Linked DNA regions of Astyanax mexicanus. The main gene of each other region encodes a partner of the protein of the gene in region 3 in a complex. Links are inferred from orthologs where the notes say so. Each region holds a gene or a part of one and is shown on either strand. Other genes may lie near its edges.

Region 1 (10,020 bases), on a different chromosome or scaffold from region 3:
CGTATTTCGAATCGCTGGGACACCTATTGGAGACATGGCCTTTCTGCACTGTGCCACTATAGGATCCAGCACCTCCCAGTGGTGTTTAATGACAGTGCATTTGGTTTGTATTTGGCTTGTAAGCGCTGCATCGTTGCTAGGTTACCTGTATGTGGCGGAGTAATACACGGAGAGCTTCGGTTACAGTGCATTACCAGCTGATAATGTCACAGTGCGGGTTCGGAACTAACTGGTTTATAATATTGATTATAACCACACCGAACTGCCATTACAATGTTAAATTAACATTGACATCAACATTGCATTTGGTGTTGGTTTTGAAAAGTGAATCAGAATTGATATGGCAACATTTTTTTAATGTCGTATGTTTAATTTTGTCTTGCTTCAAACTATTGCACTACTTAAGGTGGAATAGCTTACTTTAAGGTAGACTACCGTATTTTTTTTCACACTATACAGCACACCGTATTATAAGGCGCACTATCAATAAGTGTCTAATTTCTGGTCTATTTTTATACATAAGGCGCACCAGATTATTAGGTGCATTTTAAGAGACACTGTAAGCAGTGGTCCAGCAGTGCTAGCTGGGTTTAGTTATCGGCTACAGGCCGATAATACTCACCTCTGAACGGGGAAATAGTGAGTGCGGCTAATGCTAATGCTGCTCCTGCAGTGCTAGCCAGGGTTAGCAGGAGGCTACAGGCTGATAACACACTGAACTGTGAAATAGCTTGCACATTTAGCAGCTAATGCTAAAACTGCTTTAGTTTGCTTTAAACTGCTACACTTTTTAAGGTGGAACAGCTTAATTCAAGTACAATTAAATATAGAGCTTTGTTTCATATGTGTCTTGTTTCAAATCGCTACACTATTTAATGTGGGACAGCCTAATTTAAGGTGGAACAAATACAGGGCTTAGTTCATTTTTGTCTTGCTTCAATTTGCTACATTATTTAAGGTGGAACAGCCTAATTTAAGGTGGAACAAATACAGTGCTTAGTTCATTTTTGTCTTGCTTCAAATTGCTACACTATTTAAGGTGGAACAGCTTAATTTAATGTGGTGGAATTTAAGGTGGAATAAATTTAGGCTTAGTTGTTTTCTGTTGTGCTTAAAACTGCAGCACTCTTTAAGGTGGAATAGCTTTAATTTTAGAGGGAATTAATACAGAGCATACATTTTTATCTTGACTCCTACTACTACTTGAAAGTACTAGGTAGTTTTAAGGTGGAACAGTACAATTGTAGGTACAAAGTAGAATAGAAAGAGAAGATATAAGTGAGATGTAGAATAAGGGCCGAGTCTAAGCCTGGTCCTGTCTGAACCCGTGCCGAGCTGTTAAGTAAACTGGAGAGTGCGGGAATGCGACTTTAAACCAAGCTATGGCTTTAAAGTGTGTTAAGATGCGTGGATATGGTATAATGCAGTATAATAACTGAAGTGTATCTTCTTCAGAAGTGTTTAAGAGCCGAGCGCAGCGAGCGCAGAACAAAGGCTGGAGATACTGTCGCTGCAGTCAGCCATGAAGAATGTACCTGAGGAACAAGTTCAGACCAGAGCAGCATGTGATTTCCAGCACAGCCTCAAACAACACACGCCTCACAGTGTGTGTGTGTGTGTGTGTGTGCACGCGCACACTCTGAAAACTGTTACACCTCATTTTTATGTGTTCATAAGTGAATCATCTGTACACAGTGAATCGTTATCATTATAAAAACCACTTCATTATAAACACCCACCTCGTGCTTTATCACAGCGGACACTTTATTGGAAACACCTGCTTTGTTCCTTGATTCACTGGTCACTTTATTGGAAACATACCTACATTGTGCTTTATCACAGTGGCCATTTTATTAGAAACACCTACGTTGTGCTTTAAACTACTGGCCACTTTACTGGAAACACCTACCTTGTGCTTTATCACACTAGCCACTTTATTGGAAACGCCTACCTTGTGCTTTTTCACAGTGGCCACTTTATTGGAAACACCTGCTTTGTGCTTTAAATCACTTAATTCAAAATACATCTAACTGCATTACTGGTGAATTTATTGGAAACACCTACCTTGTGCTTCATCAGAGTGGCCACTTTATTGGAAACACCTACCTTGTGATTAATCACTCTGGCCACTTTATTGGAAACACCTGCCTTGTGCTTTATCAGAGTGGCCACTTTATTGGAAACACTTGCTTTGTGCACTAAATCATTGGCCACTTTACTGGAAACACCTACATTGTGCTTTATCACAGTGGCCACTTTATTAGAAAGACCCAACTTATGCTTTAGGTGACTGGCCAGTTTATTGAAAACAAATCTTGTGCTTTATCACACTGGTCACTTTATTACAAATGCCCGCTTTCCTGCTTCCGCTGACTGGCCACTTTATTGGAAAACCTTACTTTTGTTCTTCTTCACAGGCCATTTTATTGGAAACACTGAGCTTGTGCTTTATCACAGTGGCCACTTCATTGGAAACACCTGTTTTGTGCATTAAATAATTGGCCACATTAATGGAAACACCTACCTTGTGCTTCTTCACAGTGGCCACTTTACAGGAAACGCCTGCTTTTTGCTTTAATCATTTGCCACTTTATTGAAAATACATCTAATTTACTCGTCAATTTATTGGAGACACCTACCTACCTACCACTTTATTGGAAACACCTGCTTTGTGCTTCAAACCACTGGCCACTTTACTGGAAACACCTACCTTGTGCTTCATTACAGTTGCCACATTATTGGAAACCCCCCTACTTTTGTACTTTCACTCACTGGCCAATTTATTGGAAACACCTAGACCTTGTGCTTCAATCATTGGCCACTTTATTCACAATACATATAACTTTAAATTACTGGTCAATTTGTTGGAAACAGCAAGCGTGTGCCTTATCAGAGTGGTCACTTTATTAGAAACGGCTGATTTTCTGCTTCCACTCACTGGTCACTTTATTGGAAACATCTATTTTTATGCTTCTTCACTGGCCTATTTATTGGAAACACATTTTTTTGTTCTTCCTCTCACTGGCCAATTTACTGGAAATACCTACCATGTGCTTTATCACAGTGGCCACTTTATTTGAGAACACCCAACTTATGCTTCCACCCAATGGCCACTTTATTGGAAACACCCTAACCCTAACACTTATCTTTTGCTTTATCAAAGTGGCCACATTATTGGAAACACATACTTTTGCGTTATTCACAGGCCACTTTATTGAAAACACCTACACCTTGTGCTTCTTTCCAGTGGCCACTTTATTGGAAACACCTACCTTGTACTTCTACTCACTGGCCACTTTATCGGAAACACCTACACCGTGTACGTTAACCATTGGACACTTCATTCAAAATACATACAAAATACAGACAATTTACTGGCCACTTTATTGGAAACTTCTACTTTTGCGCTTCCTCTCTGGCCAAATATAACTTTTCAGAATTTTTTTTTGGCCACATTATTGGAAATCCCTACCATGTGCTTTAAGCCAATTGCCATTTTATTAGAAACACAGACATTGATGTTCTTCCACTGAATGCTTTACTGTACTATACAGAACTTCTTTTGGTACTATCTAGAACCGTCCTTGCCTAGAACTCTTTGCTAGACCGTCTCCGGTCACACAAAGTGCCACAGAGCTCAGGAATGCAGTGGGTTGTTTTCTAAACAGCGCTCGAGCGTCAGGACCTCTCTGCTGGTCAGAGCAGCGGGTGTTCAGGGGTCAAGGGGTCGGCTGTGGTGAGGGTGAGGTATTCTGCGGTGCCCTCTCGGCAGGGTGCGTCCCACAGACGGGCAGTGCCCTCACGCTCACGCCGGGTCTTCCAGATTCACCCCGAGGCCTTAAAGCGGAGCTGGGCAGCAGTGTGTTATTTCTGCTCAGCGATCCGGCAGCAGGTCTGGGTTCTGGGTGAGCTGGTTTTAATCTCGGTGGTCAGTGAGATCAGTGTGGAGCTGGAGATGCGGGTGCAGGCCGGTTATTTGCAGGGCGGGTGGTGGAGCTGCCCTGTCATTCCTCTGAGCTTCAGTAATGGGCATAACGGGCCCACCTAGGAGACTGCAGTACCCGCTGCTGCCAGCAGAGGAAGACACACCGCACCAGGGCTGGGGAGGAGATTCGGATATTTGGGTCAAAGGTGTAGGAGTGGGTTTGATATTGGGGGAAACATTTGATAAATTGGATTAAATCCCACCCTATGGTGACATTAAATTACAGTTAACCACAAAAAAAAGAAATGAATTTTTTTTCTGTACTTCTGTTTATTAGTAGTTAAATCCAACTAAAGCTCACTTTACAACCTAAACACGTTACTCCACATTACATTTACTGTTGCTAGAAAAAAAATTATGCGTGCAACAACTGAATGATATACATATATGATAAAAAAAAAAACTGTTAGGTTATCACCTAATATTTAAAATTGTATAACAACAGATTTGGTTATTATTATTATTATTATTATTATTATTATTATTATTATTATTATTATTATTATTATTATTATTATTATTATTATGTATTGGCATGCCAATTCTATTGTATACTTACATTTTCTCACATCTTTGGGTCCTGTGCTTTTAATTTTGTCTACTGGAAGCACTTCTTGCAATGGTGACCTTTTATTATAATAATCTAACTTTATATATATATCTCCATTTTTTACGATTTTTAGTTTAATACATAATTTGAACACACAAACTTTCCTTTACACTGTGTCAAAATTTCATGATGAATTGCCAAATAGAAATTCTCTAAAATGACCTGAAATTAATTACTTTTACATTGACTTCCTTTGAAAATTAAGTTGATGTTTTGGACATACTTGTTTTTCATTGGACAGCGACGATATAAACGCTACATAACCCAAACCCTCCCAGTCTGTTAGCAGAACAAGACATTATGCATAACCTGTTTTTATTGCATTATATTGTTATTTATGGTTGTGGTTCATTGCTCTCATCACTGACCTCTCATATAAAGCTATAAATTTGTGCTAAATTTAGCACCACCGCCATGAAAAGCACCCTCTCTCAGGAGCACGCACCCACGACTTCTTGGCTTTAACTTTACTTAGAAAATGGAAATACCCAAGATACTGTTCTAAGCTATGCTGACTCAAAAGAAATCAAAAATACACATAATTTTTAAGTGGTATCTTATTTACTATGTACATATACTTTGCATCAGACCTACTACAATGCTGCGTAACCTATGTTGTAGCCTATGTCGTAGCTTAATGAACACCTACAGGTCGCGCTATGAGCTATGATTGGTCCCCAGGGCCTCGCGTTCCTGCCTCTCGCTGGCTAGCATAGGATACAGCGTTGGTTCGGCGCAAAATTATAAAAACTGCCTTTAGCTTGTGCTAAACGCTGAAACACAAACAAGCTAGTTTATGATTAACTGCAATAAAAACACTTAATCTGAAACTCATTATTTATAAGGTCTTACATCTCCCTTATCTGCTTATTAAAACTTGCCACGGACAGTAGTTAAAGATGCCTCCCTCAAACGAAGTCTTCTGGCTAATCTTGCTGTGTACTGTCTAAGGTTCTCTACTAGCAGACCAAATGGAAACTTTTTTTTCTTCAACTAGAAGATCAAGTGGGTAAAGCTCAGTTGGGGGGTTGACAGGTGAGGGGTTGAGCCAGGGTTTATGGTTCTATGCAGGTTTCATTATTGCGACATCGCAATAAATTTTAAACTGATTCGCAGAAAACGATTGCTGATGAATGGATGATTTTTTTTTTTTTTTTTTTTTGTTTCGAAACCTTAATGGAAATACAAAAGCATGCAAACATTTAAATTTGTGTAACATTTCTGCTTTATGCATGGTTGCCATGATTGGTGGTGCATTGGTGGTGCATGATTTAAGGAGGCAAAACCCAACTTTCTTCCCAAATTTCCAAGCCTTCCCAAATGTATTTTCCTGTCACGTGATCAGCAATACTACCCACCCTCTCTTCTTCCCTCTCTCTCTCTCTCTCTCTCTCTCTCTCTCTCTCTCTTTCTCTCTCTCTCACCCTCCCTCTCTCACCCACTTACTCACCTTCTTTAACTCAGCCCAGGGATCCTCTCGCGCTCCACTCAGTCCCCTGTACTCAACAGCAGCAGCAACAGCAGCAGCGCTCAGTGCAAAACCAGAAGAAGTAGAAGCTCGTGCACCTAAACGGCGCATCTTTGAGACGAAGATCAAAGCAGAGAAGACGAAGAGCAAGAAAAGAAAGGAGGAGAGAAAGAATGGAGGCAGGAAAGATGGACAGTTTGGGAGTTTTATCGCTCATCGTCCTAGCTGTGCGGGCGGCTTTCGGCCAGTTCCACTCCGGTGAGTAGCAAACCCAGTACACGAGTTGTGACTTTGTAGTTACTTTGTGGTGGTTTGCGTGGTGTTCTGATGGGGTTTACAGGGAGTTAATGGTGAGAAATACGCTTGAACGAGTGTTTAGAGTGGTTTAAAGCTGTTTGTGCAACTTTTGCATTGTTTAGGAAGAAGTTTGAGGCTGAAAGTGCTCTTTCAGTTGTGTTTGTCAGTCTAACTCTCCGTTCCACCTTAAATAGCGCAACGGTTGCGGGCGCCTCAATGCAACCGCTGCGCTATTTAAGGTGGAACGAAGAGTTAGGAAACGAAGCTGATTTAAGTGTTTTAGAAGCAAGTGTGTGATGCTGTGCGCGTGCAAACTTATTGATAAGGCCTTAATTGAGTTAATTGTGCTATAACTTGTCTTTTATGTCAGTTTGAACTTGAGAAAAAAAACATGTATACTAATATTTTTGGTGTTTTATGTCTTTGTATATATACACACACACACACACATATATATATATATATATATATATATATATATATATATATATATATATATATATATATATATATATATATATATATATGGAGCTCTACTGCTTGGACAATAAAACCATTGATAATTATGGCTTTATTTTAGCACACTACATATATAATAATAAAACATTCAATTAAACATTGTGTTCATCAGTTAATACATCATAAATAAAATATTTGCTTATTTAAATGAACAGATGAGTGGTGAAACATATTTTAAAACATATTTCATATGAATCAGTTATTAATGAGCTAATAACGTCTATAATGCAAGAAATGAGCAGGACATAAAGTTAATACAGCATCGACACTTTGTGTCTTGTATTATAACTTAGCAAAACTAGACAAATGTACTGTAAAAAAAACTGTAAATCGTATAATTTACTATAATTCATTGGTAATTGATGAGCTAATAAGGTGGATAAAGGTGGAAAACATGGTGAAACTGGTGTAAATGTCTACAGTGGACAATTTAAGCTAATTTATTGATTAGATTTTGTATTTTAAGTTATTAAAAGTGGACAAATACAGATTTCTCAGCTTTAAAACTAACCATTGAAGCTTATTAATTGATTATTAATAACGTGACATTGTTATTAAGACTAGAACATTATAGAACAAGGTGATAATTCAGCAGCAAGACATTAGATTTTGAAATGTAAATAAATGAAAGTGGACAAATGCAACCTTTTCAGCTTTGAAACAAACAATTTTAGCTTATTAATATGTTATAAATAAGTGAAGAATAAGAGCTTAATTCAGCAGCAAGACTGTAAATGAGCAAACAGTGTTTTTAAGAACAAAAACACTGTATATTTTTAAATGTAAGTATGCAAAAGTGGACGAATCCAGCTTTTTTTACCTGTAAATCTGACAATTTAGCCTAATTATTTTTTTTTAAATAAGCGAATAAGGTGATACAAGTGTGTTAGAGGTGAGAAACAGTAAAACAGGAGGACATGTCTGTATTGAACTGAAAGAATAAGTGTTTATCTATTGTACGCCAAATTTAATCTTGAATTTCTAGCATAAATTATTAATTAATTTAATTGTGATCAATTATGTTTATTATAGCAGAAAAAACTTTAATGATCACAAGATATTGAATAAACAGAGCAGCAGACTGTGAGATAATGCAGTTTATGCTTAAATCTAATGTAACATACGCCAAATAAAAACTTTTCTTTTTTTTGAGATTTTTTTTATTATAATCCTGCTGTTATTAAATTAATATTGAACTAATAGGGTAAATCAGCTTTAATTCTAGGGTAGTATACTTCTAAACACAATTATATATGAAAAAACAGTGCACACTTCAGGTTGTATCTACTGTTATACACTTTATATAGCCTATTAAAGGATTATTTCATATAATTATCACAGAAAATCCTCTGAAATGTGCAGATTGTTGAGTAAACAGAGCTGTAGAGTGCGGGTCACTTTTACACAGTAGCCAAAAATGTGTAATTACTGCGTTTCCAGCTCTAATCTGCTAATTTCCCTTCATTAATGGATTAAGAAGTGAGTGGATGAGCTGGTTCAGGTGTGTTACAGCAGGTCATACAATAAAATGTGCAGTGTGTGAAAGTGTGTAGGAGTGTGTGAGAGCGTCTTTGCACATTTCACTGTTTTTTCAGCTCTTATACACCATCATTTAACCCTATTTTTTGACTGTTAATGAGCTTTTAAGGTGGAACAGGTGTATTAAAGGTGGAATCAATGAATGAGATTAAGTTTCTTTAAAACAAAAAGAATAGGATATTTAATAGATGCATTACGTTTTTATTGTGTTTATCACTTAGATTCATATTTAGCTTTAAATAAACAGCATAAATAATAAATATCTTAATATTTAATCTGATGGACAGATTAATAATGTAACTATTATAAGAATAAGTTCATTATATCAGGAAAAAACTCAGTATACTCTCAGTAGAAATGTGAAATTACTGCTTTTCCATCTTTAATTCTCCTCATTGACCTTCGTTATCCGATTAACTGTTATACACCTTATATAAGCTATTAACTTAATTAATATCTAATATATTTATCACAGCAAATCATCTGAAATGCGCAGATTGTGTAATAAACAGAGCTGTAGAGTGCGGGTCAGTTTTACACAGTAGCCAAAAATGTGTAATTACTGCGTTTACAGCTTTAATCTGCTAATTTCCCTTCATTAATGGATTAACTGTGAGTGGATGAGCTGGTTCAGGTGCGTTACAGCAGGTGCAACACTCAATAATATGTGTAAGTGTGTGTGAGTGTGCATGCTTTTATACACACCATTATTTAACCTTATTAACCTTTTTAAATCAGTTAATTATCAAATTATTAAATAAAATAAGAAATTAAATATAGTAACTCTTGTGTTTGTCTCTTATATACCAAATTTAAGCTTGAATGAACAGCATAAATGCTATTTTTAGCATAAAAGACACTAAATTAATTTGGTAAATGCTGATTAATTTAGTTTATTCGGCTAATTTACCTTCATTAATGGATTAAACCTGAGTTTATGAGCTAGTATAGTGTAGTATAGTGTCCAGTAGGCGTCTCACACACTCGGCCTGCTCTCTACGTGTCTTCAAAAATGTGTACACATCCGATAAGGGACAAGACAACACCCATACGCACTGTATATCATCAGCTCATTATACATTTATACATATTCTCAGTGTTTAAATCACATGTCTGCTAAATATCCTAAATGTAAATGATATAGAGTTCATTATATCAGAAAAAACACTAAAAAAGTGCAATTCTGCACCAGTTATACACTCAGTAAAAATTTAGAATTATTACTTTTACATCTTTAATTCTGATAATTAACCTTCATTATCAGATTAACTGTTCTACACCTTATATTTTTTTATTAAATGATTAAATATATTTAATTTAATTATCACAGCAAATCTGATAAATATTCTAAATGTAAATGTAAGAAAAGTAGTTTAACAGTTCTTATAGTGCTGTATTTTCATTTACAGCTCAGTATTGAGCTAATCTGCTCAACATTTATTTGATTAATCGATTAGTCGTGATTATTTTTGTCATGTCCTCTATTTGAGCTTCATATTGGTCAGACTCCTGATCCAATGCATGACTAACTGCACTCTGACAGATAAACTTTTACAGCCTGAGAACAATTTTCCAGGATATTTTTTTAATGTTTGAGATAAA
Region 2 (10,427 bases), on a different chromosome or scaffold from region 3:
CCACATATTCGAAAAACTCACAACATCCCTATAACCTACATGCAGAAAAACTTAAAACTACAGAAAGTGCAAGCAACATTTGCTAGACCTGGACTAGCATGGTTCTTTTACAAACACTGAATGAAAATTAAGTGAATTAAATTAAAGACAATTGAAATTATTTTAATTTCTGGTTGAGAAAAAACTGCACCAAGGAAAGTCTCTGAACATTTATTTAAAAAAAAAATCTACAAATATTGGTGTCTGAGCAAACAACAGATTTTTTGGCAGACATGACATCTTATTTAAACAAGAAACGTGGATGCAGCCTCACACAGCTGAAAAAGGTAGGCTAAATGCCATTTGGTGCAAGTCTAAGAACATGCCAGAGATATTTTCAGAGCATGCGTCAGAAGCAGCAACAGACAGAGGCATGGGGAAACTCGGTGAATGGCTTTTGTTAGCCTACAGTTAGTGACTGATTGCAATCTACACCAACAAAAGAGGATATTCCTGTCTCTCCTTTCAATAGAGGTACAGAAAAAGTCAGCTATTGAAGGAAATGTAATCCCTGCACCTAGTTTCATCCTGTTCTTTACCTGCAGAATGGGGGATAAACACAAGTCTTTCTGAAGAAATAACAGGTAGGTTCATCCTTTGCTAATTTCAACTGTTAAACTAGAAATCATGGTATACAAAGGAAAGTATCTACTGTCATTAAAAGCAGAAACACTGCAGTTTTCACACAAAACTTTGTCAGGCAGTTCTCTCAGCTTGTACAGCTTCCAACCACTGAATGCTCAGCATACTGTACTGCCAATTGTGTCTCAAGTAGTCAGGAGAGAGCTGGTCCTGATATTAGTCCATTTACCAATAATAAATCACTAGTAAAAAATGTGATTGTTTAAGAAAAGCTGTACTTTGAAGACAAAACTTTGCTCACTTACCCTCTGCACGGATCCAACGCAATTGCTCTTGGCTGATCGAGGCCTTCCCAAAACAAAACTTTCCGATAAGATCCATCAAATTCTGACACTTCTATTCGGTTGGTTTCTGAGTCCGTCCAGTAAAGCTTATTTCCCAACCAGTCGCAAGCCAGACCATCGGGAGAGGCCAGGCCAGACACCACGGTGGTCTGGATACCGCTGGGGCCGGAGGCGTTTAAGACGGTGCACTTGATTGCCTCCTCACTCACGTCACTCCAGTAGACCAGTCCCTGGGTGTAATCAAAATCCACGGCAGCTGCATCCTCCAGGCCACTCACCACCACCGTGGCGTTCCCACGCCCATGAGCGGCGTCCACCAACCGCAGGTCACGCCGGTTTGCATACAGGAGAAGCGGCACAGCTGAGAGTGAGAGGGAGAAATCAACAAATATATTAGCCTGGCAAAGCAAAAATCCCTCCAATATATAAAGATATTTCACAAAACAAAATTTAATATGTGATGTGTAATTACTTGTTAAACAAAGGCTTCCCCGTATGGAAACAGGTTACACTAGCTGAGAGATACAGAAGCAGTATCTAAAGTGAATGAGGCACAGTGACTGATATGCCTGGTAGATTAACATTCCCAAATGCTGTCCATCCCAAAACAATCTTTCATTTATCATAATTTTGATGATTTTGATTTGAGGTCAGCAGTACGAACTTGGCACACAATGTAAACCTAAGCTCACGCAGACAATGCCACACATCAGAACACAGCTACCTTCTTCTGTTACAAGCAGCAGAAACTAAACAAATGGAGCTCTAAAGCAAACAGCACTGATATTCTGCCTTTCTGTCTTTAACTCAGTAAACAAGTAATAAGAAACTTCAGATCAAACTAAGTTGGCAAAATGTAATTTGTGACTGAAGTGCTAATTTGCTGCCTTATCTAGAGTTTTAAAAGCATTATAGAAACGTTTGCATTATGTGTCTGCTAACAGGGCTCCTGTACAAAAATAAACTGACCTAAGAACTTCCCCAGATCTGTATCTCTTACCTCTGCAGGGTTTTGGCACTGACTCAAACCCCAATTTGACACATTGACCACTGCTCTCCAGCGGATCACTTTGGAGGGCAACCTCAAGTTCCCAGTCTCTGACCGATTGACTGGCCTGCTTGCCGTTATTTTTGTTTAACATGAGGCCTGTGAATTTCCTTTCCCAAATATTTATAATCTTGCAGATCACCAAGACAGCACATTGAAGTCCATCCAACACCCTTCACTTACTAGCCAAGTGTAAATACAGGGAGTATTGCACTTTTTGGACAGTTGATACTTGGCTTCTGATCATATAATTTTTGTAGCCCATCTTAGTTTGTAAACATTTTAACAGGTTCTGAAAGTCAGTTTGTTTGCATAAAGGTGGCATTCCCTCTCTACCAATTTTTTATTTTTACCTAAGAGCTTTAAACAGTCACACAGTACGAAAAATATGAGCATCAAACACATTTTAAAGCAGAATCTGCTTACCACTAATTCTAATACCCTTGTGATACACTTAATTTTAAGCATACAACTCTCAAATTACAAGCGCCTTTATTATTTTAACTACTCCACAAAATCAAAATCTTAAAATGTTATTATTATTATTTTTTTACCTTACCAACACTCCAGGGCACAGGTCAAGGAAAGAATGGCTGTGTAACAGATGTATAAAAGACGATGTGTAGCTATAAGTATCTGAAAGTGCAGCTCTGCAACTTCACTCATTTAATAAAAATAACTACAACAAACGTCAGACATCTTTGATAATCAACTGTGGATCACCGTGAACTTTTAAACGATACGTTTAATATGTATTTGAACGTTTCATAAGAATATTAAGGATTACATGTTAAGGAGAATAAAACGCCAATGAATCTCACAATTATTATTATTATTATTATTATTATTATCATTATTATTATTATTATTATTATTAATAGTAATGTTGCCTTAAAACCTTAAAAAAACAAAACACCCAATAATAAGGTCTAGGGCCTCGTTAGTGAAAGTTTAGTGGGGTTGGTGCTGACAAGTTCGGGAAAGCCACGACATCCCTGATCCATCACTGACTGCAGAACCCTGAGAGTTTCAGTGCTGAGCTCTGCTGTTAGCAAACATTCTGTAACGTTAGTTACCTAGCTCAGATTTAACCTTCAGACAGTGAACTCTCCCCTCTCACTGCGGACAAAAACACACTGAGTAAGTTAACTGACTCGCGTTTACTGTCGTTTCTCGGTCAACATTATTCGATCAGAGTCGGGTCTCTGCTGAAAGTGTGGAGCTGCTTTAGCCAGCGCTAGCAGCACAACAACCAGACTAGCTACAACAATACGAGCAGAACGGCTAACTCTCCGCTCCAGCCGGGCGCAGATCACCTACGGGAACGCTTCCCTGCTCTGTGGTAAAGCAGTAAAACACGGTCTGGTTCGTGTTGTTGGTACCTGGGCTAGTGGCTTCAAGTTTCTGAAAAAAAAAACGGGCTGCAGCTCGGCCTGGGCTACACGCTCCCCCGCAGCAGCAGCACTCAGGCTAGTGCAGTAGCTCCGTCTGCTCCCCGCCGGAGTGAAGCTCGCTGAAATATTGGGACACTACTGGAACACTGTAAACCAACTAAACCACCAACACCTATCTGCCTGCTGGAGAGAGAAACGAGCACACCGCTCAGTTCAGAACACCCAAACACTTCCCAACGAGAAAAGGACGACAGTCCAAACTCACCCCGTATTTGCAAACAGAAACTACACAAAAAGAGACTCCGCAGCACGGCGCCCATCTTTCCCCCGTTCTCTCGCCTCTGCTCCTCTCTGCGGCCGGATTTCAGCGCGGGGCTCGCATGGCTGTGTCCTGCTGCCCGCGCAGAAGTGATTCGAGGGTTTAGGGTAAGAGACTTCAGCTGGAAGTGCTGTTATAAAGCCACCGGGGCCGCGGGTTTTCTCCGCTCCATTCTTTCTTTCCTCTCTCGAGCTTCAGCGGCGCTACGATTTCCCCCCTCCACGAAAAATCCTGCCGCCGGAGCGCAGCCACTCGCCGCCTCTCGAGCCGTGTCCTTCCGCCAGCAGGAAATGCTCCCTGAAATCACCCGACCGCTGTCTATTGTTTGTACCGGAGTGTCCCGAGTCAGATACGAGGTTTATCTTAAAAACACAGACACCGGACCTCAGCCGCCCGTCTGTGCCGTAACCGACAGTGTGGAATTTCAGCCAAAGCGCGGGACCCGTGCGTTCAGCCCGCTTGTTTTAAAGCATGGGAAACACATTCCGACGGGACTAGTTTTTCACGGAATGGTCTGGTGCTTCGACCTGTGTGTGTGTGTGTGCGCGTGTATACGTGTGTACACACACACACATCTGCGAGTCAGTGCCGAGGGCTCACACGCTGGTGTGGAGAGTACAGAACGGTCACCAGTCCAGACGAGCCGCTTCAGAGCTGGATAAGAAAGTTTGAGCAGTAAAGCAGCGGGTATACCCCGATTAGACTGCTGAGGATCAAACCGAGTGACTTAAATTCCCTTTAACTGAGTCTAAAAAAAATCAACATGGGTGGTAAAGCAAGAACATTTAAGCCATAGCATTGTTATTACAGTATTGTAAATATCATAAAAGAGACTATATGCAAATTCCAAGTATTATTTCATCAGTCACACCAGGCTCAAACACTTGAAAGTATTTCAAACACAGTTATCTATGGAGTTATTTTTGTGCCAAAAGTTATATATACTTGTACTTGTAACTATATATACTATATATATATATATATATATATATATATATATATATATATATATATATATATATATTTGGTTACTTTATTATTCTTTGCAGTTATTAAATTAGAACAATTATTTGTTTGTATTTTGGCAGCCTCTGCTTTTATTTTTGTGTTTTTGTCTCTTAGTTGCTTTTGCTTAATTATTTGTGTCCATATGTGTATTATCTGCAATTCTGATAGCAGATTTTATAATTTTGTGTAAAACTTTTCGCAACTCTACAAATATCCTGACAATTTTACGTGCATTTTTACTCTACATAGACAAATTAATTAACAGGACAAGGGCACTTTAGTGGGCCATTTAGATTTCAGCTGGAACACTGGCGCTCTTGCCCCGCCCCTAGAATTGGAAGTGAGCAAATTGATCACACTGTAAATGCCTAAAACAATAATTCCTTGTGACATGCCATTTGTGTTGTCATTTTGTTTTCTAAAAGAGTTTCTTGATAATGTGTTGTCCTTCATAATTTTTATTTTTACCTGGATCTCAACGATCTCAAAAGAGATACAAAAATGTTTTAATACATTAAATTTAGGCTATAAAACTTGATTCACATTCCGAACTCTCATTCGGAGTGTAATCCATCGTGTCCACGACCACTTCGCTAGGTGGCAGTGTCGCGAAAACAGGGTCCTAGAACTGCGGTCCTGAAACTGCAGGGTCCTAAAACTGCAGTCTCCGAGGCTGCAGCTATACCCTTCTCAAAAAATCACACCAAAATATTAAGAAAATATTTCTAGCAAAACAGAAAAAATATTTACTAACAAAACATTGTTGTTTTGTCTGGTGTAAGAGGAATTTACATATAAGGGAACACAGGGTGCATCCAAAACTATTACTAATACCAGTGCAAGTGCAGCATACAGTATCCAACAAAAGTGAAAACACCCCTCACATTTCTGCAAATATTTCATTTTATCTTTTCATGGGAGAACCCTATAGAAATGAAACGTGGATATAAATTATAGTAGTCCATGTACAGCTTGTAAAGATTTACTGTATTCCTAAAACATCTGAACACTCCCCACAGCCATTAATGTCTAAATAGCTTGCAACAGAAATGAGTGCGCCTAACAGTGAAGAATTGTGCCCAATTGTCCCCCTGTATCTCCCTGGTGTCATGTGACTTGTTGGAGTTTCAGAGTTCCAGAGTTCCAGGTGTGATTTTGGGGGGGATTCTCTCATTCTGGCCACTGGATATTCAACAATCCACTTCATGGAAATTAAATGAGAATGTGAGAAACATAATTGTTGCTCTTCACAAAGATCTAAGCTATAAAAAATGCTAACACCCTGAAACAGCATGGTGGCCAAGGTCACACAGCAGTTTTCCAGCACCAGAAAGCTTTTAAACAGTTTGCTGAAGACAAGCAGTCCAAGAGCATGGATTAATGGAACCATATCCTGTGATTTAATTAGAACAATACAAACATGTTTGGCTCAGACGGTGTCTAGCATGTGTGGCAGCACCATGGAGAGGATTACCAAGAGAACTGTCCCTTGTCTACCCTCAAGCATGGTGGAGGTAGCATCATGGTCTTGGGCAGCATAAGTGCTGCTAGCACTGGGGAGCTGAATTAGTGTACATAAACTGTGATATTTTAATGCAGAGCATGATTCCCTTCTATCCCAAACACACCTCAAAAATTACATCTGCCTTGCTGAGGAAGCTAAAGATAAAGGGGATGGACTGGCTGATTTTTTAATCATGGGGGAGTGGAAGAGGATTCCAGTGGCAACCTGTGTTGCTCTGGTGAATTTCAAGCCAGCCAGTCACAGGTGGTCAGTCAGTAACTCGGACAAAGGCAAAAAGTTGGAAATAGTTTTGACTGGATTTATGGGGAACAGAGAAAATGTGAATCAGGCAGGCTGTATCCTGGATCTGCAGCCTTTATCTAAGAGGAAACATTAATTACCAATAGCTAACCTAAACAATTAAGACAGTATTTGAGACCCGAACATCTTCAGGAAGGTCATTCCAGAGCTGAAATACCCTTGCTAAACTCCTCTTAATTCTGACAACTGGCATATTTCAGTTCCCAGTTGAAGTTGAAGTTTATTTAAGGTTTTGCTGGAACATCCTGACAGTTGCGCATTACAGTAGTCCAACCTTGATTTAGTGAAGGCATATAGGAATTTGTCTGTGCAAGAATGAGGCATTTCTTAGCCTTTCAATGTCATTGAATTGTAAGAAAGCTGTTCTGGTTAGAGTATTGTTTATCAAATTCTAGATCTGAATCCATGACAACACCAAGATTTTTAGCTGATGAACCAGGTGTGAGATAAATGTAAGTCTGATAATTTATATCTGGAAGATTTAAATCATAATTGGAAGGTATATAATTTACCTTCACAAACTAATAATGATCACGTAAATATAATTTAAACCATGATATGGCTGTTCCAGTTACACCGACCATGTTCTTTAACTTTCTAGAAGCATAGTATGATCTCTTGTATCAAAGGCTGCACTCAGATCAAGAAGTACCAGCAGGGAAACACAGCCTTGGACAGCGGTATGAAGCAGATTGTTTGAGTTAAAGGCTTCCAACCTAACTGGCTTTTGTTCTGGATGTGCTATTTATCTGTTGATTAATTTTTCAAATATTTGAAATTGAATTATTGAACAAGTCCATAAAAGCCTTGCTGGTGTGAATGGCTGCAATCTGAGTTTCAGTACCTGCCTGGTTTCAGTCAGTTTGGAAATAACACTAAAGAGAGCTCAAGGATTGTTTTTATTAATGTCAATCTTGCCAGATACTCTGAGCAGATCTATTAAACAATACTGTCCTTTTAAGCAAAGTGGAACACTTCCAGAGTGTAAAAGGTTTATGGCCTTTTACACTCTAAATTTCATACTAATTGCTTTAAAGTACGCATTTGATCATTGTACCATGGGGCAAGCTTTTTCTGTGTCTCTTTTCTGTATTGAAGTGGTGCTACCCTATTTTCTAAACAATCGGTTAGTTTATCTAGCTCTATTGGGTCTGCTGGAAAATACACTGTGCTTGATAAATTAGGGAGGTTACCAGTGAATTGTCATGCTGTAAATTATTGTTTAGATATTGTTTTTTTAATGGTTGATGCCGATATATATAAAGCCGATATTTTTGTTGCAAATGATTGTTTTTTAGTTTGTTCCCCCCCATTTATTTATAATAATAATAATAATAATAATAATACACATTATAACCATCTGAAATTACAGTATTGAAATAGTTGAGTACTTTAAACAGACTTTAATTCCAGTGTTTCAAACATTGAATATTTGAGACCTTTACACTTGGAAAGTGTGCAGTGTATGCAAAGAAGAGACAACAGAATCTTTTACAAGTGATTTAAAACACAAAATATGGGTAAAATATTTACACAAAATGTACAACAATCATATCTTACCTCAGTCAATCAGTGAGATTACAAAGTAATAAGAGAGACCCTGCTCTTTCCACTGTCTACCTATTGTTACAGAGGGCATCAATAGGTAAATTAAGTAGTTAATGCATATTTAAATCTTCCCATTATCACAGTTTATTATTATTTACTCACACAATCAATGAAAGAGTATATTGTGAAAAAAAAAAAACGGACATTCTGCATTTTAAAGAGTCCCCATTAATAATGCCTTCACAACATGCAGTACCATCATACTTACAAGATGAACACCGAATGTAATATAAATGCTTACGGTGTATTTACTAGTGGGGAAGTGAGCAACCTTGGAACCCCCACCCCTTGGTGTAATTGTTTGGCTTTTGTAATCTGGCTTTCTGGCATTTTGTTTGAGTGATTTAGCTATAGCAAATCAGTTCTAGAATTTAGCTGGGCTAAATTGCCTCGTTAGTATTAGCTTAGCTAAAGTAGCCTGTTAGCCGAGCTAAAATAGCCTGTTAGCCTTAGCTGAGCTAAAGTAGCCGGTTAGTGTTAGCTGAGTTTATTTAGCCTGTTAGCAAAGCTGAGATAAAGTAGCCTGTTAGTCGAGCTAAAGTAGCCAGTTAGCGTTAGCTTAGCTAAAGTAGCTGGTTAGCATTAGCTAAGCTAAAGTAGCCTGTTAGCATTAACTAAGCTAAAGTAGACAGTTAGCGTTATCTGAGCTAAAGTAGCCGGTTAGAAGCACTGAGCCAAAGTAGCAGTTCCCTGTTAATTAAGCTAAAGTAGCCTGTTAGCGTTAGCTTAGCTAAAGTAGCTGGTTAGCATTAGCTAAGCTAAAGTAGCCTGTTAGCATTAACTAAGCTAAAGTAGACAGTTAGCGTTATCTGAGCTAAAGTAGCCGGTTAGAAGCACTGAGCCAAAGTAGCAGTTCCCTGTTAATTAAGCTAAAGTAGCCTGTTAGCCAAGCTGAGCTAAAGTAGCCTGTTAGCGCGTCCACACGCAGCGGCTTCTCTCTCTCCCAAGGAAACTGTGTTTTTGTGTTTTTTGTCCTGTAAGTTGCACTGTTCCTGTACTTCTTTTTCATGCTTTTACATATTGTCTCTTGTATGTATGTCATGTATTTTTGTGTGTATGTCATGTATGTCTATCTGTGTCCCTGTTGCCCTGTTGTACATATGTAACAGTGTTAAAAGTATATATAAATAGATAACAATATATAAATTACTGCAAATGAGTTCAGCACCACCTGCTGGTCAAAGGCTGCCAGTTTTTAGTATAAAATGAGTGCATGCTGGGAGACCCCCAGCAGTCTGAGATATCCCTGCTGTGGGTGAGTTGGCTCTCTACAGAGCTCCAGTAAAAATCACTAAAATAATAAAATAAGTACTCAGTGCTAGTATATTTTAATACTTAACAGCTCTAACCGACTATATAATGAATGTGCATGTGTTAGTTACATGGATTAAGTCATTTTTGTGTGCCAATTAGCTAGCTAATTAAGCTAGCTGATTTAACTAACAGGCCACATGTCTCTGTTGCTAACAATAGCTAACTCTGTTTAGGCTGGCAAAGCTGACCAGAAACTGATCTGATGTGTTATGTGAATGCTGAACTCGTTGCAGGTGGGTTTAAATATATAATACGTGTTATTCCTTTGGTTATATTAATAAGTTAAATATTTGAGGAATTAAAAAAATGTGCTTTAGCCATGAGCCTAGCTTTGCTAGGTGTGTTATATCTGGTGTCCAAAAGGTGGCAGTATTGTATCTCTTTTTTCAATGTTTCTACTGTGAAAATCTACAAAATGGATGATGTGATTTGTGCAACTGTAGTATAATTTTATAAGAATGTTTTTATTTTATTTTGTCTTAGTCATTATTTTGTAAGGATAAAGTTAACTTAGTTAGATTAATATAATGTATACTAATTATGAGAATACCGTTATAATATAATACTTCATAATAATTATAATAATAATATAATTACGTGAATAGATACCATTATAAATGTTTAGTTGCTTAATTAATATTTACTATACGATCACTGTTTTTTTCTATTTTTATGTACCATGGGCAAGAAAAGTGTCAAAACTGTACATACAAAAAAAACCGAGCAGTCTGAGATATCCCTGCTGTGGGCTGGCAAAGCTGACCAGAAACTGATCTGATGTGTTATGTGAATGCTGAACTCGTTGCAGAATAAAAATACCCATCATCCAAACCATGTGGTGTCCATCCCTGGGGCGGGACGGAGTATGAGAGGTCACATTGGTGCCGTGACTCGTGACATCTGTCTGGAACTGAGGGTCGTCCTGCCATCGCCCGGGTGGAATTCA
Region 3 (9,982 bases):
AAATCACACTAGAACATCAGCTTTATATTAAATTTTTTTGTGCATTATGGATCCTTATTACATGTTGCCAGTTCATTTTAAAGTATAAAATCAGCTTGGGCCAGGCTACTTCCAGGTTTTTCTTAAAGTAGAAGACTGGTACTCTTCAGATCATGTGTATTTGGTCTGGCCCAAGATTAAAAAGTCCTTCAAAATCACACTAGAACATCAGCTTTAAATTAAACTTTTTTTGTGCCTTATGGATCGGTATTCCATGTTGCCAGTTAATTTTAAAGTATAAAATCAGCTTGGGCCAGGCTAATTCCAGGCTTTACCTAAAGTAGAAGACTAGTACTCTTTAGATCATGTCTATTTGGTCTGGCCCAAGATTAAAAAGTCCTTCAAAATCACACTAGAACATCAGCTTTACATAAATACAATTGTGCATTATGGATCGGTATTCCATGTTGCCAGTTCATTTTAAAGTATAAAATCAGCTTGGGCCAGGCTATTTCCAGGTTTTCCTTAAAGTAGAAGACTAGTACTCTTCAGATCATGTGTATTTGTTCTGGCCCAAGATGAAAAAGTCCTTCAAAATCACACTAGAACATCAGCTTTATATTAAATTTCTTTGTGCATTATGGATCCTTATTACATGTTGCCAGTTCATTTTAAAGTATAAAATCAGCTTGGGCCAGGCTAATTCCAGGTTTTCCTTAAAGAAGAAGACTAGTACTCTTTAGATCATGTCTATTTGGTCTGGCCCAAGATTAAAAAGTCCTTCAAAATCACACTAGAACATCAGCTTTACATAAATACAATTGTGCATTATGGATCGGTATTCCATGTTGCCAGTTCATTTTAAAGTATAAAATCAGCTTGGGCCAGGCTATTTCCAGGTTTTCCTTAAAGTAGAAGACTAGTACTCTTCAGATCATGTGTATTTGGTCTGGCCCAAGATTAAAAAGTCCTTCAAAATCACACTAGAACATCAGCTTTATATTCAATTTTTTTGTGCATTATGGATCGGTAGGCCATGTTGCCAGTTCCTTTTAAAGTACAAAATCAGCTTGGGCCAGGCTAATTCCAGGCTTTCCTTAAAGTAGAAGACTAGTACTCTTCAGATCATGTGTATTTGGTCTGGCCCAAGATTAAAAAGTCCTTCAAAATCACACTAGAACATCAGCTTTACATAAAAAAAAATTGTGCATTATGGATTGGTATGCTATGTTGCCAGTTCATTTTAAAGTATAAAATCAGCTTGGGCCAGGCTAATTCCAGGTTTTCCTTAAAGTAGAAGACTAGTTCTCTTTAGATAATGTGTATTTGTTCTGGCCCAAGATTAAAAAGTCCTTCAAAATCACACTAGAACATCAGCTTTAAATTAAACTTTTTTGTGCCTTATGGATCGGTATGCCATGTTGCCAGTTCATTTTAAAGTATAAAATCAGCTCGGGCCAGGCTAATTCCAGGTTTTTCTTAAAGTAGAAGACTAGTTCTCTTCAGATCATGTGTATTTGTTCTGGCCCAAGATTAAAAAGTCCTTCAAAATCACACTAGAACATCAGCTTTACATAAAAACAATTGTGCATTATGGATCGGTATTCCATGTTGCCAGTTCATTTTAAAGTATAAAATCAGCTTGGGCCAGGATATTTCCAGGTTTTCCTTAAAGTAGAAGACTAGTACTCTTTAGATCATGTGTATTTGGTCTGGCCCATGATTAAAAAGTCCTTCAAAATCACACTAGAACATCAGCTTTATATTCAATTTTTTGTGCATTATGGATCGGTAGGCCATGTTGCCAGTTAATTTTAAAGTATAAAATCAGCTCGGGCCAGGTTAATTCCAGGTTTTCCTTAAAGTAGAAGACTAGTACTCTTTAGATCATGTGTATTTGGTCTGGCCCAAGATTAAAAAGTCCTTCAAAATCACACTAGAACATCAGCTTTATATTCAATTATTTTGTGCATTATGGATCGGTAGGCCATGTTGCCAGTTAATTTTAAAGTATAAAATCAGCTTGGGCCAGGCTAATTCCAGGCTTTCCCTAAAGTAGAAGGCTAGTACTCTTTAGATCATGTGTATTTGGTCTGGCCCAATATGAAAAAGTCCTTCAAAATCACACTGGAACATCAGCTTTACATAAAAAAAATTGTGCATTATGGATCGGTATGCTATGTTGCCAGTTCATTTTAAAGTATAAAATCAGCTCGGGCCAGGCTAATTCCAGGTTTTCCTTAAAGTAGAAGACTAGTTCTCTTCAGATCATGTGTATTTGTTCTGGCCCAAGATTAAAAAGTCCTTTAAAATCACACTAGAACATCAGCTTTAAATTAAACTTTTTTGTGCCTTATGGATCGGTATGCCATGTTGCCAGTTAATTTTAAAGTATAAAATCAGCTCGGGCCAGGCTAATTCCAGGTTTTCCTTAAAGTAGAAGACTAGTACTCTTCAGATCATGTGTATTTGGTCTGGCCCAAGATTACAAAGTCCTTCAAAATCACACTGGAACATCAGCTTTACATAAAAAAAATTGTGCATTATGGATTGGTATGCTGTTGCCAGTTCATTTTAAAGTATAAAATCAGCTCGGGCCAGGCTAATTCCAGGTTTTCCTCAAAGTGGGAGAGTAGTTCTCTTCATCTGATGTGTATGTGTTCTGGCCCAAGATGAAAAAGTCTTTCAAAGATTGCCAGTTCATTTTAAAGTATAAAATCAGCTTGGGCCAGGCTAATTCCAGGTTTTTCTTAAAGTAGAAGACTAGTACTCTTCAGATCATGTGTATTTGTTCTGGCCCAACATGAAAAAGTTCTTCAAAATCACACTTGAACATCTGCCTCATATTATTTGAGCGCAATGGCTTTTAAAATATAATTGTATTAAATATATATTTAATTATTTATTGTAATATATAATTATAAATTCAGTAATTAAAATAAATATTTTACAATATACAAAATTATATTTAATAATATATTGTATATTTACATTGTTAATAAACAGATGTACTGCTTTTCTTCATTCTATCTCCTTCAGTGTTGATCTGTGAGGTGTTTAATATAAACAGCGGGTGTTTGTGAACGCTCCCTTTAGTTCACGGTGGTTCAGTGAAGCGGCAGCTGCGAATATCAAACCAACTTCAGCCGGGGAATACGAGGCTGCGAATATCGAGCCAAACGAATCTGGAGCTGCGAATATCAAACCAACTTCAGCCTCGTCTTTTCTGATGTGTGTAGGCTATGTAGTCCATTATTTAAAAATATATATTGGCAATTGTTTCTTATCTAATTATTATTATTTATTGAATGTATTCTAAACCATTGATAACTATTTATCCTGTCAAAATATATAAATCTAAAAAAAAAAAAAATAACCAGAACCAGAATGCATCTAAGCTGTGTTCAAACTTCAAAAGCCTAGATGTCTCGATTTGTAATTGGCCATTAGCTTTGCAGTAGGCATGTTTTCTTTCTACAGAACAAGCTATCTCAACTGCTTTACTCATAGATAACATTAACAGGTCGAGTCAAGAATAAATACCTCAATCTGATTGAACCTCGGGACGGTTGATCTTCACAACAAACCTACACTTCTCATCTCTTCACCGAAGAGTGTTAATCAGCCACTGTTTACTGAAAAGCAGACAGTGAATGATAATTAATTCGGTAAACTTTTCCCTCCTTCTCATTTGCATCCCCTCTTTGATCTTCGCCTCTTGTTCTGTCAACTGAATTTCAAAGTACCTCCATTACAATTAAGAGCTCGCATCAAACACGGCTAATGGAGCGACACTGCATGGAGAGGCCGACTTCAGCCGACCTTCTGTAGCTCGTTGCCTGCTGTACACTTACCCACTAAACATACCTGAAACATTTTTAAAGCCTGACCTGTCGGCAACCCCAAAATTGTATGTGGAACCAACACTGTATTTACATAATATAAGAAAGTGCAGGTGCAGGAGCACTGACTTAAAAAGCCTGACGTTTTATTTAACCCGTTGATTTAATTATTTTTATTAACTTATTGCACAATGATTGCTAATTATATGATATGGAACAATTAAGTGTATATCACGAGTTAAAAGGTAAAATGATGTGTTTAAAATTAAAGATAAATAAAAAATATATTTTTAAAAAGTTTTGAAAAGTTCACACTAAGCCGCAACAATACAACACAGAGGTTAGAACTCGCACTATCCACGCATAATAATATGTGTACACTTCTCTACACTCTTTACAAAAAAAAAGAACGTTAGCAAATATGGTGCATCATTCTTTTATTTAATCAATAGATATCGACATATCTAAAGGCACTGAAGTATAGATCGAAACGTATTTTATTTTTCATATAGACTACTCTACACATTAATAAACTTTTAAATTATACTTAATATTATAATCAAACTCCAAATTATGGATGGGTGGATAAATAAGCAGTTTAGTAAGAGGCGCAAAAAAACTGAAAATTAATATTTAATAATACAAATATTTATGTATTATTTAAAAAAAAAAGTTCACAGCAGTGCGGTAAATTAATGTAATGCGACTAGTTAAAATAAAAAATAAAAATAATCTTCACATGGGATTTAGATAATAAAATACATAAAACGAATAAAGAGAAACTTGGTTATTACTTTTTATTATATAAGTGGTTAATAAACTAGTTAATACTGTAAATAACATTAAATCGAAAATAAAAAAAATACTATAAACATCCCTCTGTGTAACTGGAGGTAAATAATCCGGCTTGATTAGACCGGCTCTCCAATACACATTTCCTTAATCCCAGTTAAAGCAAGGATAACCGCTCACTTAATAGACTACTCTGCTTTGTGTTTGATGTTAGCTGCTTGTGATGATGCCTCACACACACACACACACACACACACACACACACACACACACACACACACACACACACACACACACACACACACACACACAGAGGGAAGGCTCTCTGTCGGTGGGCAGCCCGGGTTCGGTGCCCCAGCAGCGCCGCTCCCTTTGAAATCGCATCCCCCTCCCTCAGCGAGGGGCGTGAACGCAAACATTAGGGTGGGTATAAATGGGGCACCAGGGTCTGATGAAGCCTCAGAACACAGCTCAGCCAGCAGCTTAGCTCCAGGAGCTCCAGCGAACAGGAGAATATAGCGCACCGAGCACCAGCAGCACCTCCACCGCGGACTATCTGCGACCATGTGGCCGGCGGCGCTCTCAGCCCTGACCTTCACCCTGATCACTGCCACGGCGGCGGCGGCCGGGGGGCTCTTCAACTCCAACGCCATCAAGGTGGGTGCACCTGTGGAAAGCTCGGATCAGGCGGTGAGCGAGAGCCCACAGGTGTTCCCCGTGGATGAGGGCAGTCAGAACTTCGCCACCGACACCATGCAGGTGAGGAGGATGGTCTTTTCGGGGGTCCCACACTGAGTTCTTTGAGGAACTTTAGAGGTTCTCCAGTTTTAAATTGTTTGCATGAACCATACGGTTCAAGCTGTAGAATAACACTTAAAAAATGACTCTTTTTAAAGCACCTCAACGAAATATCAGGAAACATTTTCTTTAAAAACTCATTGAGGAGCTTTTATGGGTTCTTTATTTTTTAACTTTACATAAACCTTATCTAGTTCTTTAGGAAAGCTTCAAGGAACCTTTTTCTTCATAAAATCTTTTAATAAGGCTCCTCGAGGAACGTTTAGGGGTTCTTCAATATTAATCTTTAAGGTTTTTAAGAAACCTTCAGGAGAAATATTTTCTCTTTTCAAAGCAACTTTAAAAAATGCATACACATTTTCAAGTTAAAGAACCGCTAATATGTCTTAAAGTAAATTGAACGTTTTCAGTGTTATTTTTTGATACTTATTATTTATGAATGTTTCCCCATATTTTCCAGCTCTTTAAATCTTTCACTGACTAATACCGTCGCTGTTTCTCTCTTTTTGTCCTCTCTGAAACGCAGCCTCTTGTATGTGTGGTGGATGAACAGTGCGCTGAAGACGAGTTCTGTTTCCGATCGCGCGGCGTTTGCCTCCAGTGTAAGAAAAGGAGAAAGCGCTGCATCCGGGATGCTATGTGTTGCCCTGGAAACCACTGCAACAACGGTAAGAGCCTCCTTCACACATATAAGGTAGTTAAAATACTGTGACAGTCTGTATCCACCACATGGTTGTAGGTTCGATACCCTAAACAGCGAAGTCTCCACTGTTGGGCACTAAGGCGAATAGGGTCTTTAAAATCCAGGGTTTAAGAAAACAACATTTTTACAGGAACTACATATGAAGTCAGGACATCTTTTTTTTCCAATAATTCCCAGTCCAATACCTCAACAGTGCATTTTTTTTATCTTTTACTTGCGATTCGGCATGACCTAAACCCTGAACTCTACATTTATTATAAAAAGTTTTGTTTGGGGGGGTGTCAAAATCTATAATGTTAAATATTACAATAAATGTACGGTTCCCATGTCAAAAAAAAAAATATTTTAATACGATTCACTTTACCATATATATTTTACCATGAATTAACCATTCCACCTTAAATTCTGCTTATTTACAATTTCACCTTAACTACGAGGCTTCAGGCTGAAAAGGCATATTTGACGCACTTTCTACTTATTATCCTATACTTTTAAGATGGCACAGAATATTAAAATAAGTTGTGATTTCTGCACAACATATACAGAAATGTATAACATTCATAAAGCATTTAACATTTACTACATCATTTTAGGGTGGAAAGGAAAGTGTGAACAACCTGTTGCTTTATCATTGTATATTGTAAAATGACAAGAATGAATGAATAAAACCATATATTTTTGTTTTCAACAGGAGTGTGTCAACCAAACGACCCTGACATTGCCCTCCAAGCAGGAGTAGAAGAATTTGTGCTCGTTAGCGCCCCCCATGAGGAGAACGCCACACTGGTACTGCAGCCCAAGTCACCGGTTCATAATCTAGCTCAAAACCTGAAAGGTAAGCTATTAACCATGCTTTTGGAAACATATGTTAATTGCAATTATAAACATTCTTATAATTTATGAGTGATTGCTTTTGGTCTAATCTGCTTTTTGGTCTGTTTTTTAATGTTTCAGGTCTTGAGGGCGAGACCTGCCTGAGGTCTTCTGACTGTGCGGAGGGGCTGTGCTGTGCTCGCCATTTTTGGTCAAAGATCTGCAAGCCTGTCCTAAAGGAGGGTCAGGTCTGCACCAAGCACAAGAGGAAAGGCACTCACGGACTGGAGATCTTCCAGCGCTGCGACTGCGATGAAGGCCTGTCCTGCCGGACGCAACGAGGAGACCACAGCAAGTCCTCTAGAAGCCTCCATACCTGCCAGAGACACTGAGAATCCAGTGGGATTTTGTTTGCGTAAAGCTTCTGGAAAGTGGGACCAATCTGAAAGAAAGAGAAAACTCCATTACTGATGGATTTTGATGGATGAAGGGATGAAAGGATGGATGGATTATGATTGGAATACTCTTGTTCTTACTTCTTCCTGTCTACAGTTTGTATGTCAACATTGCAGAGTAGATATACATGTTTCTCTATGGAACTTGGCTTTTGATGGTTGCAGTACATTACTGTATTGTAAATACTAGGGAAGTTGGCACTTAACTCTTTTTTTTGTCAACACAATGATTTTTGAGGATGAGGATTTTACCAAGCTTTTTCCAGTTTATTGTAAATGTACATACAGATTTTCATGATCGTATAGAGTCTGATATATGTCTATTTTTTATTCTAAATAAAGAGTTATGATATTTGATATTTCAAATCCATGTCTAAGCATAAAGAGTCTTTCTTTCAGTTCTGCACTTTTTTGAATGGTTGGGGCAGGTGTTATTTACAATTTGAATTCAAATTTGAATCTTATCTGGAATCTAATATTTTACATATTTCAGGAGTTAACCTCCTGAGACATAGACTTTTTCTTGGTGCGCAATTTATCCTGGACATGTGGGATTAATAGGACCTAAAGAGTATAACAAATTAAGTTTGTCTTTTTTCATCCTTAATGGGGACAGTAGTTTATTTTAACGTTTAAAAATGATCCATCCCATATGGAATGAGAAGGGCCAAATTAGCCCAAAAACTAATGTATAGCTTTCTACAGTAAGTAAATAAACTAGTTTAAAACATAAAATCTGATAAAAATGTGTATACCTTGCCAATGATTCTGTCTGGACTGGCAGGAGAAACTCATGACTGGGATTCCCACCATCTTGTTTTTAATTAATTGAGTGTAATTATTATGTGGTATTTGCAGTGTTTTAATATGAGACCAAAGGGTCAAAGTTTTGAAAAATTAAGTATCATAGTTCAGAGAAGAGGAGGGTATATTTCTTTGTGAATATACTAGTTTATAATGGAGGGGTTTCATTTGGTGTAAGTTTTCAGCATTTTTTTCTTGTTTGAAACCATGTAAGTTGCTTAAATCTAATGATTTTTGTATTTAAAAACTTCTTTCTTACAACTTTATTGACCATCTTTCAGTGCAGGGGGATTTACTGGTTGTACTTTTGAGAAAGTATTTTTTTTTTTGTATGTACAAATAGAGCAAGGCAGGAACACAAAAGCATGAAATCCCGCCACTCAAGACATCCCCTCCTTTTTAGTGCCCTCTCCTCTTTGAGAACTATGTCCTTTTTGCATTTCCTCTGGAGTAACTGGAAACTGGGGGCTTACTTGGAGCTGTCAAAGGAGACAAAGCAGAAGGGTAAGCATTTCAAAGCACAGGATATACATGTTGCAATTGTCCTATCCATGTGCTCCGGCTGGTGCTGGGAGGACGTCCCCCAGCTTTTGTCAATACCATCAACAGCTTAGGGCCCAGAAACATCTGTGCGTGGAATCCCAACTGTCACAATGGCGCAAAGAGAAACTTAAAACTCCCTAGTTTGCCAACTATACAGTAAAGTGGCTAATTCTTTGAGGGCAACAAGGCATCTCTGGGATTCCAGAGGAGGTCCCCGGCTATTCAATCTGATATTTGCTTAAGGGAGTAAACGGTTGTGTTAGGAATCATAACTGAATCGTACCTTGAATAGAAGTGGATTTTCTATTTTTCTTTCTTTTTTATTTTTTTCTGTGCCGGATACAATAAAACAGCAATTTAAGGGCCTCATAAGGGGCCAGTGTGAATGTTTGCAGTGCTCCTCAAAAGCCTGGCTCGCTTTGAAGTTGACTGAAGGGCGACTTTGTTTCACAGTGCTATTTTGCAACAAATAGTTAAGTAAGTGAAGTCTCTTTTTGAGAGACTTACTTAGAAAGGCCCCCAACATGTTAATTTGAGATAAATATTTACCCACTAATTTAACCCACAGTTAAAGGCACGAGCTTCTTCCTGGGTCTGTTGGAGGAACGTTGATGTTCTGGATGGCTTTGGCAAAAAAGCGTTTTAAGAAAACTGTACTAATAAAATTAAAATATATTGAATTTACTACATCCAGATATCACATTAAATCTTCATAAACTAAAAATAACCATTATGTATTAGAATTATCACTTTTTTAGGTAAAACAAATATAAAGACAAACTTGTGTGTTGATGAAATACACTTTAAAAAAAAGAAGCTGCACACAAATAAAATGCCACTAGATCCACTCCTCAGATCCACTATTGGTTCCCAGCTTTTTATAATCCTTACAAAACAGTAAAAAAACAGTCAAATAAATTAAAATACATTCATAACTGACATGCAGTAAACTATAGACATCCCATTAAAAACTCAACTGATATGTTTCTTGGCCAGGGTTCTTCTCAAAGTGGGGTCCTTATTTTGTAGACATTGGCTACCAAACAGTGACAGAACTCAAATGTGATCTAGGTTCCTAATTAACCAGCTCAATCCTGCTTCAAAAATGCCAGAAACAGTTGCTTTTTGTAGAAACTGAAAGTTCCCGTGATTTTCTCGAGTACCCAATAAACCAAGTCCCCCAACGCTTAAAATAAATAAATAAATAAATAATATATATATATATATATATATATATATATATATATATATAT

The links.
Region 1: the proteins of dkk1b (region 3) and kremen1 are in contact, whole or in part, in a crystal structure (PDB 5FWW), measured with the Homo sapiens proteins. The link is inferred for Astyanax mexicanus from reciprocal best matches to the Homo sapiens genes DKK1 and KREMEN1. Residues at the interface, in NP_036374.1 of Homo sapiens: Cys189, Leu190, Arg191, Ser192, Ser193, Cys201, Arg203, Trp206, Ser207, Lys208, Lys222, His223, Arg224, Arg225, Lys226, Gly227, His229, Gly230, Leu231, His261; in XP_011528731.1 of Homo sapiens: Pro67, Asn88, Asp90, Asp92, Ser94, Trp96, Gly105, Val106, Tyr107, Trp108, Tyr110, Asp127, His128, Gly129, Pro132, Thr140, Asn142, Glu164, Ser165, Tyr167, Ala168, Phe170, Asn189, Val191, Phe193, His196, Asp203, Gly204.
Region 2: the proteins of dkk1b (region 3) and lrp6 are in contact, whole or in part, in a crystal structure (PDB 3S8V), measured with the Homo sapiens proteins. The link is inferred for Astyanax mexicanus from reciprocal best matches to the Homo sapiens genes DKK1 and LRP6. Residues at the interface, in NP_036374.1 of Homo sapiens: Glu185, His204, Phe205, Trp206, Ile209, Gln218, Val219, Thr221, Arg224, Arg225, Ser228, Gly230, Leu231, Glu232, Ile233, Phe234, Arg236, Ser258, Leu260; in NP_001401174.1 of Homo sapiens: Arg639, Glu663, Ser665, Ile681, Tyr706, Glu708, Thr724, Arg751, Trp767, Gly768, Gly769, Pro771, Val790, Gly791, Arg792, Asp811, Thr812, Asn813, Leu814, Pro833, His834, Phe836, Trp850, Ser851, Tyr875, Met877, Arg1184.

The regions. Positions count from the first base shown.
Region 1 is NC_064429.1:35,667,368-35,677,387, forward strand, and holds the start of kremen1 (kremen protein 1), read left to right. Parts: upstream 1-6,063; 5' UTR 6,064-6,236; coding exon 6,237-6,321; intron 6,322-10,020. UniProt on the Homo sapiens protein: Receptor for Dickkopf proteins. Cooperates with DKK1/2 to inhibit Wnt/beta-catenin signaling by promoting the endocytosis of Wnt receptors LRP5 and LRP6.
Region 2 is NC_064409.1:30,625,795-30,636,221, reverse strand, and holds the start of lrp6 (low-density lipoprotein receptor-related protein 6), read right to left. Parts: upstream 4,258-10,427; 5' UTR 3,728-4,257; coding exon 3,673-3,727; intron 1,327-3,672; coding exon 927-1,326; intron 1-926. UniProt on the Homo sapiens protein: Component of the Wnt-Fzd-LRP5-LRP6 complex that triggers beta-catenin signaling through inducing aggregation of receptor-ligand complexes into ribosome-sized signalosomes.
Region 3 is NC_064422.1:6,276,019-6,286,000, reverse strand, and holds dkk1b (dickkopf-related protein 1b), read left to right. Parts: upstream 1-5,056; 5' UTR 5,057-5,177; coding exon 5,178-5,372; intron 5,373-5,937; coding exon 5,938-6,079; intron 6,080-6,805; coding exon 6,806-6,949; intron 6,950-7,068; coding exon 7,069-7,319; 3' UTR 7,320-7,748; downstream 7,749-9,982. UniProt on the Homo sapiens protein: Antagonizes canonical Wnt signaling by inhibiting LRP5/6 interaction with Wnt and by forming a ternary complex with the transmembrane protein KREMEN that promotes internalization of LRP5/6.